Linked DNA regions of Canis lupus familiaris. The protein of the gene in region 3 binds, or shares a complex with, the protein of the main gene of each other region. Links are inferred from orthologs where the notes say so. Each region holds a gene or a part of one and is shown on either strand. Other genes may lie near its edges.

Region 1 (3,641 bases), on a different chromosome or scaffold from region 3:
GTACGATGGTCTCGGCAGCCTCGTAGGAAGTCACCCGCCCATATCTGTGAGGGTTCACCTCTGGGCTCTCTGTCTTTAGGCCAAGGTCACACTGTTTTGACGACTGCAGCTTTGTGGTAGGTTTTGAAATTAGGACACGAGAGCCTTCCAGCTCATCTTCCTCAAGGTTGTTTCAGGAGTCCCTCCAGACGCCCACGGATCTTAAGATGGGTTTTTCTATTTCGGGGTTTTGAGAGAGGTGGCACGGAGCCTGTAGACTGCGGTGGGTACACTGACAATTTAACACTGGTTAGTCTTCTGGGCTCAGACAGGATGCCCCCCTTCACCCTCCGAGACCCCGTCTCTCTGTGTCTCAGGGGCTGTGGTCATCGCCTTCGTGGTCTGCTGGCTGCCCTACCACGTGCGGCGCCTCATGTTCTGCTACATTTCCGATAAGCAGTGGACCCCGTGAGTACCGGGAGCCTGGGGCGCAGGGGTGAGGCTCGGGCTGGGAGAAGCTCCCCAGAACAGGTTGGCATGGGAGGTGGGGGCGCGGAACAGAGCAGCTCAAGGCAGGGCTGCAGGTCAGGTGTCCCCGCATGTTCTTGGTGTGACTGTGAGTGGGCTGGGGGCAGAAGGAAGGCCACGGAGGGATGGATGCCACAGGGGGATGGACACCACGTCCGTGGCTGAGGCTGCTCAGCCACGGGGCAGGTCACAGCAGAAGAGGAGAGCAGAGCTGAGAGTGGGTATGAGACGAGTTTAGAGCCGTCTGGAGAGAGACAGAAAGGGCTGGCCCTGTGGGACCTGGGGGCGCAACCACTGTCTGGGTGTCCTAGACTACCCCCAGGCTGGGGGAGCCGCGAGCACTCGGGGGGCCCCGGGGCAGCCACACCCACACGGGGCCCTACCGCAGCCCAGGGACACACAGCAGAATCAGTGACGGGAAACAAGCCCGCAGAGGCGTCCTGGGGAGCAGGCCCGGCTTCCAGAACCCCCTCCGCAGGCCAAATGCCCCGAACGAACCGAGGCCACGTGTGAAACGCTGTCGGCTGGGCAGCCGGCCAGAAGCCCAGGGCTCTTGCTGGGGCCGCTCACGTAGATGCCGCGGCTGCCGCGCGCCCCAGCCCCAGACTCCCAGGAGGAAGCATCTGCTCTGCGTAGGATGCTCTAGGCCCCGAGAGCCCCTCCTCGCAGGGGGTGGCGACCCCGGACATCCAAGCTCCCAGACCCCGGTGCAAGAGGCCAGCCTTGCCAGGACGCCCTTCTGACACGACAGCCCCAGGCCCCGCCGTGCGTGAGCTTAGCAGGGCAGCCTGGTCCGAGGGTCACAGCTTCTTCAAAGTGACGGGGAACCATGGGGAGGGCAGATCCAGGACAGACGAGGAGAAGTTGCAGGTAGCAGAGCACGGTGCTGAGTAAAGGGTTTCTGAAACCCAGGGCTGCCTGGTGAGGGAGTGAGATCCCTGTCGGTGGAGGCAAGCAAGCCGAGGCCCAGGAGCACAGCCCTCCAGGGAGCAGGGAAGGGGTCCGGCCGCACCCCTTAGCCCCAGCGAGCTGGCCTCCTGCACGCAGACGGGCGGGCCCGGTGTGCCGCAGGGAGGGGTGGAGGCAGGCGGGGAGGACGGCCACAAGCCAGCCCCCCGACCGGCGCCAGCGGGAGCGTGGTCGGAACTCCCAGCACCTCAAGAGATGCCGCAGCCCCGGAATTTGTTCTGAAATAGCCCCACGTCAGAGAATTTAATGTCCTTGTCCCGAGCACCGAGGGTCGTGGCACCACCAGGCCGGGTCTGACAGCTGCCCTCGCCCCCAGGTTCCTGTACGACTTTTACCACTACTTCTACATGCTGACCAACGCGCTCTTCTACGTCAGCTCGGCCATCAACCCCATCCTGTACAACCTGGTCTCTGCCAACTTCCGCCAGGCCTTCCTGTCCACCCTGGCCTGCCTGTGTCCTCTGTGGGGGCGCAGGGGGAGGAGGCCGGCCTTCGCCAGGAAGACCAACAGCGTGTCCAGCAACCACACCTTCTCCAGCAACGTCACCCGGGAGACACTGTATTAGGGCCGGGGGGAGGAGGGGAGGCCCAACGGCAGCGTCGCCCCCTTCCCCCCTCCCCCTCTCCCTGCAGCCCCCCACCCCCGGGGCAGGAGCAGGGCTCAGCAGAGGCCGGGGACTCAGCGCCCACCCCCAGAGGCCTCATTTCTCGCAGCTTCTCCCTCTGCCCCTCTTTGAAAGCCGGAGAGAGATTGCTTCACCCCAGATCCAGAAAGGGCCTTTAATGAGAAGAAATTAGTGGTGGGGGAAGGCAGGTTTCTTTGTTCCCACACTACGGGGTGATCCGGGAGGACAGAAATGAAAGGCACAGGCCGGGCCGGGCTGGCGTGGGGAGGCAGCCGCCCCGAGAGGCAGGGCTGTGGGCGGAGGGCGGCCGCTGCCCTGGCGCCCCCGGCGAGGAGAGGACCGCTGGCCTCCTCTGGTACGGCCTCGGCGCCCAGACCCCTCCTCTCCACGGGCGGTGCCCAGGGGCCCCCGGGGGTCGGGGGGGCAGGCGTCGGCTGGACCCGGCTCCCCGTCCTCCTCGCCCATTTGTGGGGACTCAGCCACAGGTGAGGAGGAGGAGCCGTGGACACAGGCGCCCGTGGCTGCCAGGCTGAGGCCCCGGGTCGCCCGTCACGGCCGCGCACAGCGGCCCCAGCCCCGGGCACCCGGAAGGGCAGGCGCCTCCGTGGTCTGTAGGAGCCGGTCTCCAGACAGGATGGCCTGGCCCTGGCCGTGCCCTGGCAGGTCCCCTGAGCCGGGGGAGGCCGAGGCCGTGTGAGCTGCCTCACGGGAGGCTCGAGGGGCAGAAGGGCCTGGAAAATGAAATATGGGCTTTTGTTACAGCAGGTTGTCACTGGGCTCCTGAAGGGAGCAGACGGGCAGCGGGTGGGCAGCCCTGACCCCGCCGAGGAGGCCTGCTCCCAGCCCGGGCACCAGGACCCGCCCCTCCCGTAAGAACGGCCGTTGGCTGGCACGGTACCTGCGGCGGCGTTGGACCTGGGCCCTCTGCTCCGAGCTGTGCGCTCCGAGAACCCCCGGCTCCTTCTGCAAGAGCGGCGCCGGGTGGGCAGCCGCCAGCAGCCCCCCAGGACCCCGGGACCCAGGCCAACCCAGACCCCACACACGCCGTCGGCTCCGGGCAGGCGAGCAGGACAGGTGGGCAGGCGGCCAGTGGGCGCCTGCAAGCAGAGGCTGGTGCCCAGGCCGCGGGTGTCGAGCACGGGCCTGGACTCGTCCCGAGAGGCCCTGAGAGCCACCCCCGCGCTCGGCACCTCGGCCACGCCGTCCTCCGAGGCTGACGAGTGGGCGTGGGCGCCGTCTGGGCCCGGCCGATGTGCCCTCCCGGAGGACCCAGCCCAGGACGGGCGGAAGACGGGGTTCCCTGGGGTGGGGGCAGAGTGGACGCACGATGGGGACACCCAGCAGCCCGGACCCTCGCAGGCGCAGCAGGGACAGGGTCTGTGCGGCGGCCCCAAGTGCCCGTGACCGTTGCGGTCTTCACGTTCCCGTCTGCGCACTTCCCGCAGCCACAGACGCGTCCACGCACAGCCCGCGCCCTCCGTGGGCCACCGGCTCCGTAGAGCCCGCCCCTGGCCACGTCACGCAGTCGCTCCAGTGTCC
Region 2 (3,741 bases), on a different chromosome or scaffold from region 3:
AGCTACTTTTATTTTTAATGAATGAAAACATCAGATCTCTTCGACTTCTCCCTATCTCAGCTGATTCTGATAGTCTTCGAAAGAAAAAAAAGAAAAGGTATCTTGTGGAACATTCTGGAAGGAACTGAAAGCTGCCAACATGGCTTCATGCATATCTGAAGCATTGCAGTGAATAGATCCTTATGCTCTCCTTTGTCCTGTCACTGCTCCTTAATGTGCGCTGGTCTATTGGACAGACATTGTGAAAATTCTCTCTTAGAAAAGTGTAACGCGTTTTTGGTACATGTTAGATAATAACAATGAAACACAAAGAGAAGGATGATTTTGCTGTTATTTTGGCACTGCTGTTGCATTCCAGAAAGAATGGTTTTGGAAGACGAACTTCTAGCATTTTTAGAGTTTCACTATTTAATAACACTGTCATTTTAATATACTCCAGTTTCTAGTTTTAGTGGTGTTCACAATGGAGTATGTAAGTACACGTGTCTTCTAAATATTGTCAGCTCTCCGAAAGAATCAGTAGTAAAATTATTTCTAGGTTACAAAAGCAGGCAGTTGTTAAACAACTTAACATTAAATATTAACGAATAAATGTAGCATTGAAGCACTGAGTTTAATTGTCTCCGGCTCTATATAACTCAGTCCTTGTTTAAGGATACAAAGTTAGTGTATCAGGGTTGGGAAAATTAATGGCAGCGAATTTTCGATTCTGAAATTAAGCACAATGTGTTTCTAAACATAGCGAGATCCCTGGAATTTTACCTTTAGGATCGTATCTGTCGCTCGGAGCTTATTATAGCTATTTCCGTGTGGCTTTTTCTCTTTTGTGCCTACGTCACCGGTTTAAGGTATTTATTTATTTATTTAATTTCAAGAAGAAAGAAGAGGTTCTGTGGAGAGCAGTGCCTGTGTGTGCCAACCCCCAGGAGGGTAGAGGAGGGCTAATGTGGGAGCGGAGGGGTAGGGGTCGCCGCCAGGAGGCTGTGTGGAAGCACAGGAGGACGAGAAGGAAGGCGCTGGAGCACTCCCCTCCGATCTTAATTCCACCTAAGAAATTTAGGAGAATGCGAAAAAGCAGCAGCCCAGCATTCTTGAGGGGGCGTGGCTTCCCTCCCGGGGCTGTCCAATCGCATTCCTTCAGAGGGAGCTCTCCCAAGAAGATTGATGGGGGTTGCTAGGAAACAGGAGCGTCTCCCTCCCGCCTGACCCAGAGACTGTTCGGCCCCGGCCCTCTCCAGGGGCTCGCAGCGTGCGCTCAGGCGGTGCGGGGGGCAGAGCGGCACACCCGGCTCTCCGCCGCGCTCGCCGCCTCTCAGCTCCCGCTCTCCCTTTCTCCTCCGGCGTGCGGCCAGCCCGTGGCACGGGGATCGCTGGAGAGTTCTTTCAGGGCCATTAGTCCCTGCCCTCCCGCAGGCAGGAGAGAGCTCGAGCAGAGCTTCAAAGTTGGAGCCGCGGATCCTCCTGCCGCCCCGCGCCCCTCCGCCCCACCCCTCGGAAATTCTCCCACCTTCGCCGTCCTGCCTAAGGATTTCCAGCAGAGCGAGGCGAGGCGGCTCGCAAAACCGCCCCGGCGCGCGTATAGTAACCTCTGGTCTAGGTGCCCGGGCTCACTGAAGACTCTGCAGATACACCCCTGTTACGGGAGGGGGAGGGGGAGGAGAGGGAAAAGGCGAACGGGAGAGGCAGGAAAGGAGAAAGAGAGTGCGAGGGAGAGAATGCCAGGAGGTCCGTGCCTCCGCCGAGGGTCCCCATTAGACGCTGCGGTTTGAGCCTGGCCAAGGTGAAGGAAAGTTGCTTTCCGCGCCTGGGAAGTGGGTTTGCCGGTCAAGCCGAGGGGCGCTCGGCTGGGAAACGCTCTCCTACCCTCCGCCGAAGCCCGCCGGGTCTCCCGCTCTCCCAGCCCCCGCCGGGCCTCCCTTTGCCCACTCCCCCGACCCGGAGGCCTGGATGCTCTGCCGCCGGGCAGTGGTCCAGCGCGCGGCCGGGAGGGGGCGGGGGCAGGGGGCACGGTGACGGGAAGCGGCGCGCACAACTTGGCCATTTCGGGGGCAAAATAAGTTCTTCCTCGGATCTGAAAGGACAAAGCCGGCAAGCTACCTCTTTTGTGTCGCATGAGGAAGCACCAAGCATGAGCCGGAGCCCGGGTGCAGGCTCAGCCGCCGCCGCTGCCACCGCGGCCAGCTCCAGTCCCTGCCAGGAGTTGTCGGTGCGAGGTAAGGGGCCCCGACGAGGACGCGTCCCTCTGGAGGGCGCCCGGCTCGGGTGCCGCGTGGGGCAGGCTGCGCCCTGGGAAAGTTGAGGCAGAGCCCAGACCGGTCCCTACAGCGCTGCCGGGGGTGGGGCGGGAGGGGGACAGGGGCGAGGTGGGTGTGCGTGAGTGAGAGTTGGTGTGTGTGCGCGCACGTCTGTGTCTCCGGGAGGGAGGCAGATTTCAGGGCGCAGTCCTGCCTTCGGGGTGCGGGTGCGGGGTGCAGAGGCGGAGGGGCTGACTAGCGCTCCCAGACCCCGAGAGACCAGTGTCGCCAGCCAACCACCTCTAGCCTTGCTCCGGGCCCGGGATTCGCTGCCATTCGGGGGCCCCTTAGGCTTTGTGCGCAGGAAACCTTGCGGTGACCGGCTGCCGCCCGGGCGGCTCCGTGGGTGTGGAGGTTGCGCGAGGAGGCGGGCAGCGGGCAGCGGGCGGCGGGCAGCGGGCAGCGGGACCGGCCGGCGTCGCAGCCAGGACGCGCTCTGCAGCCGGGAGCGGCCGGGGGGCGGGGGGGGGGGGGGTGCTCGCTCTCCCACCAGCAGGCTTGGAAAGCAGCCCTAACTCCATGCCCTGTGCTCTGTGGGGCTGGAGCGAAACATCGAAAAGCCAGACCCGGAGCTTATCTCTTCATCGATCTTGTTCCATTTTCCTATCTGACAAGGGAGGTAACTCAGAGAGGGCGGGAGATTCGCGATCCAGAAATAGACTAGGTGACACATCCAATAAGCTTGTTTCTTAAGGATTTCATTTACGATTCCTTCTAGTTCCTTCCCTGCGCTGAAACAAACGCGGAGGACTCCCTAAGATACAATACTTTTAGACAGGTATCTTAAGGGGACATGCCTCTGCCTTTTAAGTGTTTCGAAGCATTGTAAATTCCGATTAGAAAATAATAAAACTGTACACTTTAAATGATCGGTGGTCAAGTGGTCGGCTAATTTGCTGATAAAATATTTCAACTGTTACGCGAATAAGATGTGTTTAAGGTAAACAATAGTGATAATGACCTAATGGGTCTATGCAGAGTTGGGGTAAAAGAGAGTTGAGGGTGGTGAGTTAAGGATCCCGGCATTCCAATCATAGTGCATTCCTTTGATTTTTCTCTGCTTAATTTTATTTGTGCTTCCTACTCTTAGCACTGTTTAGTAGAGCTATATTGTGTTTCTCTAGGGAAAAAATTAAGCATCGATCTGGAAAGAAACATTATTCATTTACCTAAATCTAAGTCAGCCTCGGTTTATCTGATCACATATTTTAAGGCTGCTACTGGAACTCTAATTGTTTTTGTAAATATGTTTAATATAGGCATAAAACACCTCAACTCCTACTACACTAAACTCCCGTGGACTATATACAGTTCCTACCCAAAGATGGTTTAGGACATTCTATTAGTTGATTCTGTAGTGTTATGCATTTTTGAGCTCAAAACAGCTCAACAGAATTTGAGTAGATTCTGGAAGCTATTGCACACTGAATCTTAATAAAGTGGTATT
Region 3 (3,641 bases):
AACCCTGTCAGACCATCTCCTGTGCTCCCCACACTGGCCAGAGTGGGGCATGGGAAAGGACAGAACTGATCCAGCAGTCAGCCCTCACCTCCCCCTAGGGGCCAGGTCTGAGTGGTTCTCCTGGGTACCCAGTACCCCCATCCCGAGGGCTGCACAGCCTTCCCACACAGGAGCTTTGGGACAGACCTTTGAGCTCCAGTTGGGCCAATCCCAGGGCTCAGCTGGTGCTCTTGGGGGCTTGTTTGCTGCCCTCTTGGGCTCATCCTCCATGCCCCCTGCTCCCACAGTCTACGTGACACTGACCTGCGCCTTCCGCTATGGCCGGGAGGACCTGGATGTCCTGGGCCTGACGTTTCGCAAGGATCTGTTTGTGGCCAACGTGCAGTCCTTCCCGCCAGCCCCTGAGGACAAGAAGCCCCTGACACGGCTGCAGGAGCGCCTCATCAAGAAGCTGGGCGAGCATGCCTATCCTTTCACCTTTGAGGTTAGGGACTGCCAACTGCACCACCAGTAGGAAGCCCTGTGGGCAAGCACATGGGGACAGCTGGGGCAGCAGCTCCATGTCACTCAATTTCTCAGTGTACATTGGGACCTGGGGCACTGTCACTTATACTTCCTGGTAAGTGTCTCTTCTCTGGCCACTGCCAGGGGTGTCACCTTACCTCTGAGCTACTCCTTGGACCCTCCCGAGTCCAGCTCGTGGCGGGAGAGAGCCGGGTGGGCAGAGGCTGCAGAGAAAGAAGGAGCCCTTTCTCACCTCTGAATTACTACAGGACTGTCTCCTCCCTCAGACCAGCTGCCCGCATGCCCAGCTTCGGCCCAGCTCCAGCTGAGCTCCAGCGCAGCTCATTAATGAGGGATGGCATGTAGTGATTTCCCTGCTCTGCCACTTTTCCAAATGGAAAGACTCCCAGATTCTGGATTTTAAAACTTCCTGTTTCTCAGACTCTGATTCTGTGATTCAGTGAAATCCCCTGGCTTTCTGGGAAACCAGAGGAGAGACATTACAGTCATCCTGTCCATGGCAGATGTATTGGTTTCCTGTGGCTGCTGTAACAAACAAGCTGCTGCCAACCTGGTGGGAATTAAATGTGACCATTAAAACACAAGTTTCTGACCTTACAGTTTTGGAGGTTACAAGTCAAAACAAACAAACAAACAAACAAACAAACAAACAAAAAAACAGGTTGCACTGGGCTAAAATCAAAGTGTCAGCAGGGCTGTATTCTTTCTGGAGGCTCTAGGCCTTGCCTTTTCCAGCTTCTAGAAACTGCTTGTGTTCCCTAGCTTGAAGCCTACCCCTCTGTCTTCAAAGCCAGCAATGGCTGGTCAGTCTTTCTTGCAGCCCACCACTTTGACACCGACTCTTCTGTTTCCTGCTTTCCCTGCTAAGGTCCATTGTGATTACATCGGGCACACCTGGATAACTCGGGCTACTCTCCCCATCTCAAGAGTTTTAACTTAATCACACCTGTAAAATCCCCTTTGCCAAGTAAGGTAGCAGTTGAAGGTTCTGGGGATTAGAAGGTGGGCACCTTTGAGGGGGTGGGGGGGCTTGTTCTGCCTACTACAATCTAGGCAGAACACTTTATTTTAATTTTTTTTTTAAGATTTTATTTATTCATGACAGACACACAGAGGCAGAGACACAGCAGAGGGAGAAGCAGGCTCCATGCAGGGAGCCCAATGCGGGACTCGATCCCCAGACCCCAGAATCCCAACCTTAGCCGAAGGCAGACAGTCAACCACTGAGCCACCCAGATGCCCCTAGGCAAAATCCTTTAGATAAAGAAAAGCACTGAAATCCTTGGCTTTACTGGAGGGCTTCTGGCCCAGTGTGGGGCATCCTTGGCATGGTCTGATGGGGGAGACATGGCCTGTTGCTAGGGCCCCCTGGTCTGATAAATGTGTGTGGGGGTGGTGGGTGGGCAACATGAGGAGCTCAATGGTCAATGTGACAGGAGACCTGTCTGTCCTCTTAACAGATCCCTCCAAACCTCCCGTGCTCTGTGACATTGCAGCCAGGGCCTGAAGACACGGGGAAGGTGGGTCACGTCTCTGGAAGCCTCTCTCCGGGTAAAGGACATTTGTATCCCCAGGGCCCTGGCTTTCTGAGAGGCATCGGAACTCTGTGTGGAAGCCTCCCTGTGTGGAAGCCACTTCAACACTGCCTCAGATAAGCCGGCTCTTTTCATACAGGGCAGCAGGCAGATAGGGTGTCATCCTCACCCCCGCATTCCATTACATGCAGTCTCTCCTGGGCTTACTGTTGGCTGCAGCAGAACCAAAATGTTCTCTGGACTACCTCTTGGCCTCACAACCTTGCATGGGGGTCCATTCACTGTGGTCTCACAAGTGGAGAAATGGAGGCTCCAAGAGAAGTGACACTACTAGTGTCACAGGCCCCAGATCTCTGAGCCCCCTTGTCTTCACCTGCAAAATGGAGATGAGAGGCTATGCCTCCTCCTGCAGTTTAGAGGGTGGAGTGAGCCACCAGAGCACTGTTGGGTCTGCACATAGTCTGTGCTCCCCTCCTAGGACTGCTGAGCACCCCCATTGTTATTGCCGAGTGGCTGCCTTAATGAGGACAGCTGCCCAGACCAGGCAGGTGTCTGCAGGGTGGAGCCCAGTTAGGGCAGTTTGGGACACCCAGTGTTGGGGGAGCTAGGGGAGCTCTGTGGGAAGGCCAGGTGGGGTTGGGGTGCAGCACAGCACTGGGGCTGAGGCCGATCACAGGGTCCTGAATCAGGCTGAGGGGCGGTTGGCCTGTGAAGTTTGCTATTCCCCTCCAGGGTCCTGGTTTGTAAAATAAGAGGGTGGGATGGCTGTGCTGTCGGGACCCTGTGGTCAGCAGCCCCTTCTCCTCAGGCCTGTGGTGTGGACTACGAGGTCAAAGCCTTCTGTGCCGAGAACCTGGAGGAAAAGATCCACAAGCGGTGAGAAGGGCACAGCTTCCGCTGGGTGTGGGCTGCCTACTGGCAGAGGGAGAGAGACAAGACCAGCAAAGTCAGAGAAGAGATAAGTAACAATACCTGGAAGTGTGTGAGGAGGGGCCGCATATTCCAGCCCCAGAAACTCCAAGAAGGGCCCTCTGGAAGGCTGGCAAGTCCTGGAGGGGTTCCTGGAGAAAGTGGCTCAACTGTCTGGGGCTTAGGGCTCAGGCCTCAGGCCTCAGGATTTCTCCCTTTACAATGCTGAACCTGCCTCCTCCATCACCCTGCTTCAAGTCTTGCCCCATGAGACTGCATGTTTTTATTTTATTTTGGAAAGAAACACAAAATTTGGATCATTTTAAAGAGTGAGCAAGAGTTTTTTCCAGCCACCCTGAACCCCTACTTCCTACTTCTCCTGGGAAGCCATCAGCAGCAGGTGGTAGTGGGGGCGGCAGTGGGGTGTGGGATGGGTCAGCCCACGTGTCAGAAGAGGTAGTGTTCTCTAGAGAGGCACAGCCCTGGGCAGACAGTCCAGACTGGCAGCTGGAAACAGCTGGACCTGACTTCTGAGATAGACTGCCCAGCCCTGCTCTCGTGCCTGTTCCTCCTCAAGGCAGGCCCTGCCCTGTCTTCTGGCGAGGAGGCGAGGCTGGCCTCAGCCCCCCACTCTGATGCACCCTGCCTCCCCAGGCAGCCGCCCGCATTCCT

What was found.
Region 1: the proteins of ARRB1 (region 3) and NTSR1 are in contact, whole or in part, in a cryo-EM structure (PDB 6UP7), measured with the Homo sapiens proteins. The link is inferred for Canis lupus familiaris from reciprocal best matches to the Homo sapiens genes ARRB1 and NTSR1. Residues at the interface, in NP_004032.2 of Homo sapiens: Tyr63, Arg65, Asp67, Leu68, Val70, Leu71, Gly72, Leu73, Thr74, Phe75, Arg76, Lys77, Asn245, Thr246, Ala247, Gln248, Tyr249, Lys250, Lys284, Arg285, Gly286; in NP_002522.2 of Homo sapiens: Ser93, Leu94, Gln95, Ser96, Leu97, Gln98, Thr100, Val101, Arg166, Ile170, Pro173, Lys177, Phe286, Ser287, Met288, Ala289, Ile290, Ala297, Leu298, Gly301, Ser368, Asn370.
Region 2: the proteins of ARRB1 (region 3) and GRM3 are in contact, whole or in part, in a cryo-EM structure (PDB 9II2), measured with the Homo sapiens proteins. The link is inferred for Canis lupus familiaris from reciprocal best matches to the Homo sapiens genes ARRB1 and GRM3. Residues at the interface, in NP_004032.2 of Homo sapiens: Gly5, Thr6, Arg7, Val8, Phe9, Lys10, Lys11, Ala12, Ser13, Pro14, Tyr21, Arg25, Arg65, Glu66, Asp67, Leu71, Gly72, Leu73, Thr74, Phe75, Arg76, Lys77, Arg103, Leu104, Lys107, Pro133, Arg236, Phe244, Asn245, Thr246; in NP_000831.2 of Homo sapiens: Pro605, Lys608, Ala609, Ile669, Phe670, Asp671, Gly672, Val673, Lys674, Asn675, Ala677, Gln678, Arg679, Lys681, Phe682, Ser684, Cys761, Pro762, Glu763, Phe765, Val834, Val835, Thr836, His837, Gln855, Ser856, Ser857, Ala858, Ser859, Thr860.

The regions. Positions count from the first base shown.
Region 1 is NC_049245.1:47,459,599-47,463,239, forward strand, and holds part of NTSR1 (neurotensin receptor type 1), read left to right. Parts: intron 1-356; coding exon 357-447; intron 448-1,792; coding exon 1,793-2,042; 3' UTR 2,043-3,641. UniProt on the Homo sapiens protein: G-protein coupled receptor for the tridecapeptide neurotensin (NTS). Signaling is effected via G proteins that activate a phosphatidylinositol-calcium second messenger system.
Region 2 is NC_049235.1:12,835,609-12,839,349, forward strand, and holds the start of GRM3 (metabotropic glutamate receptor 3), read left to right. Parts: upstream 1-1,230; 5' UTR 1,231-2,213; intron 2,214-3,741. UniProt on the Homo sapiens protein: G-protein coupled receptor for glutamate. Ligand binding causes a conformation change that triggers signaling via guanine nucleotide-binding proteins (G proteins) and modulates the activity of down-stream effectors.
Region 3 is NC_049242.1:23,396,111-23,399,751, forward strand, and holds part of ARRB1 (beta-arrestin-1), read left to right. Parts: intron 1-287; coding exon 288-484; intron 485-1,985; coding exon 1,986-2,045; intron 2,046-2,868; coding exon 2,869-2,936; intron 2,937-3,641. UniProt on the Homo sapiens protein: Functions in regulating agonist-mediated G-protein coupled receptor (GPCR) signaling by mediating both receptor desensitization and resensitization processes.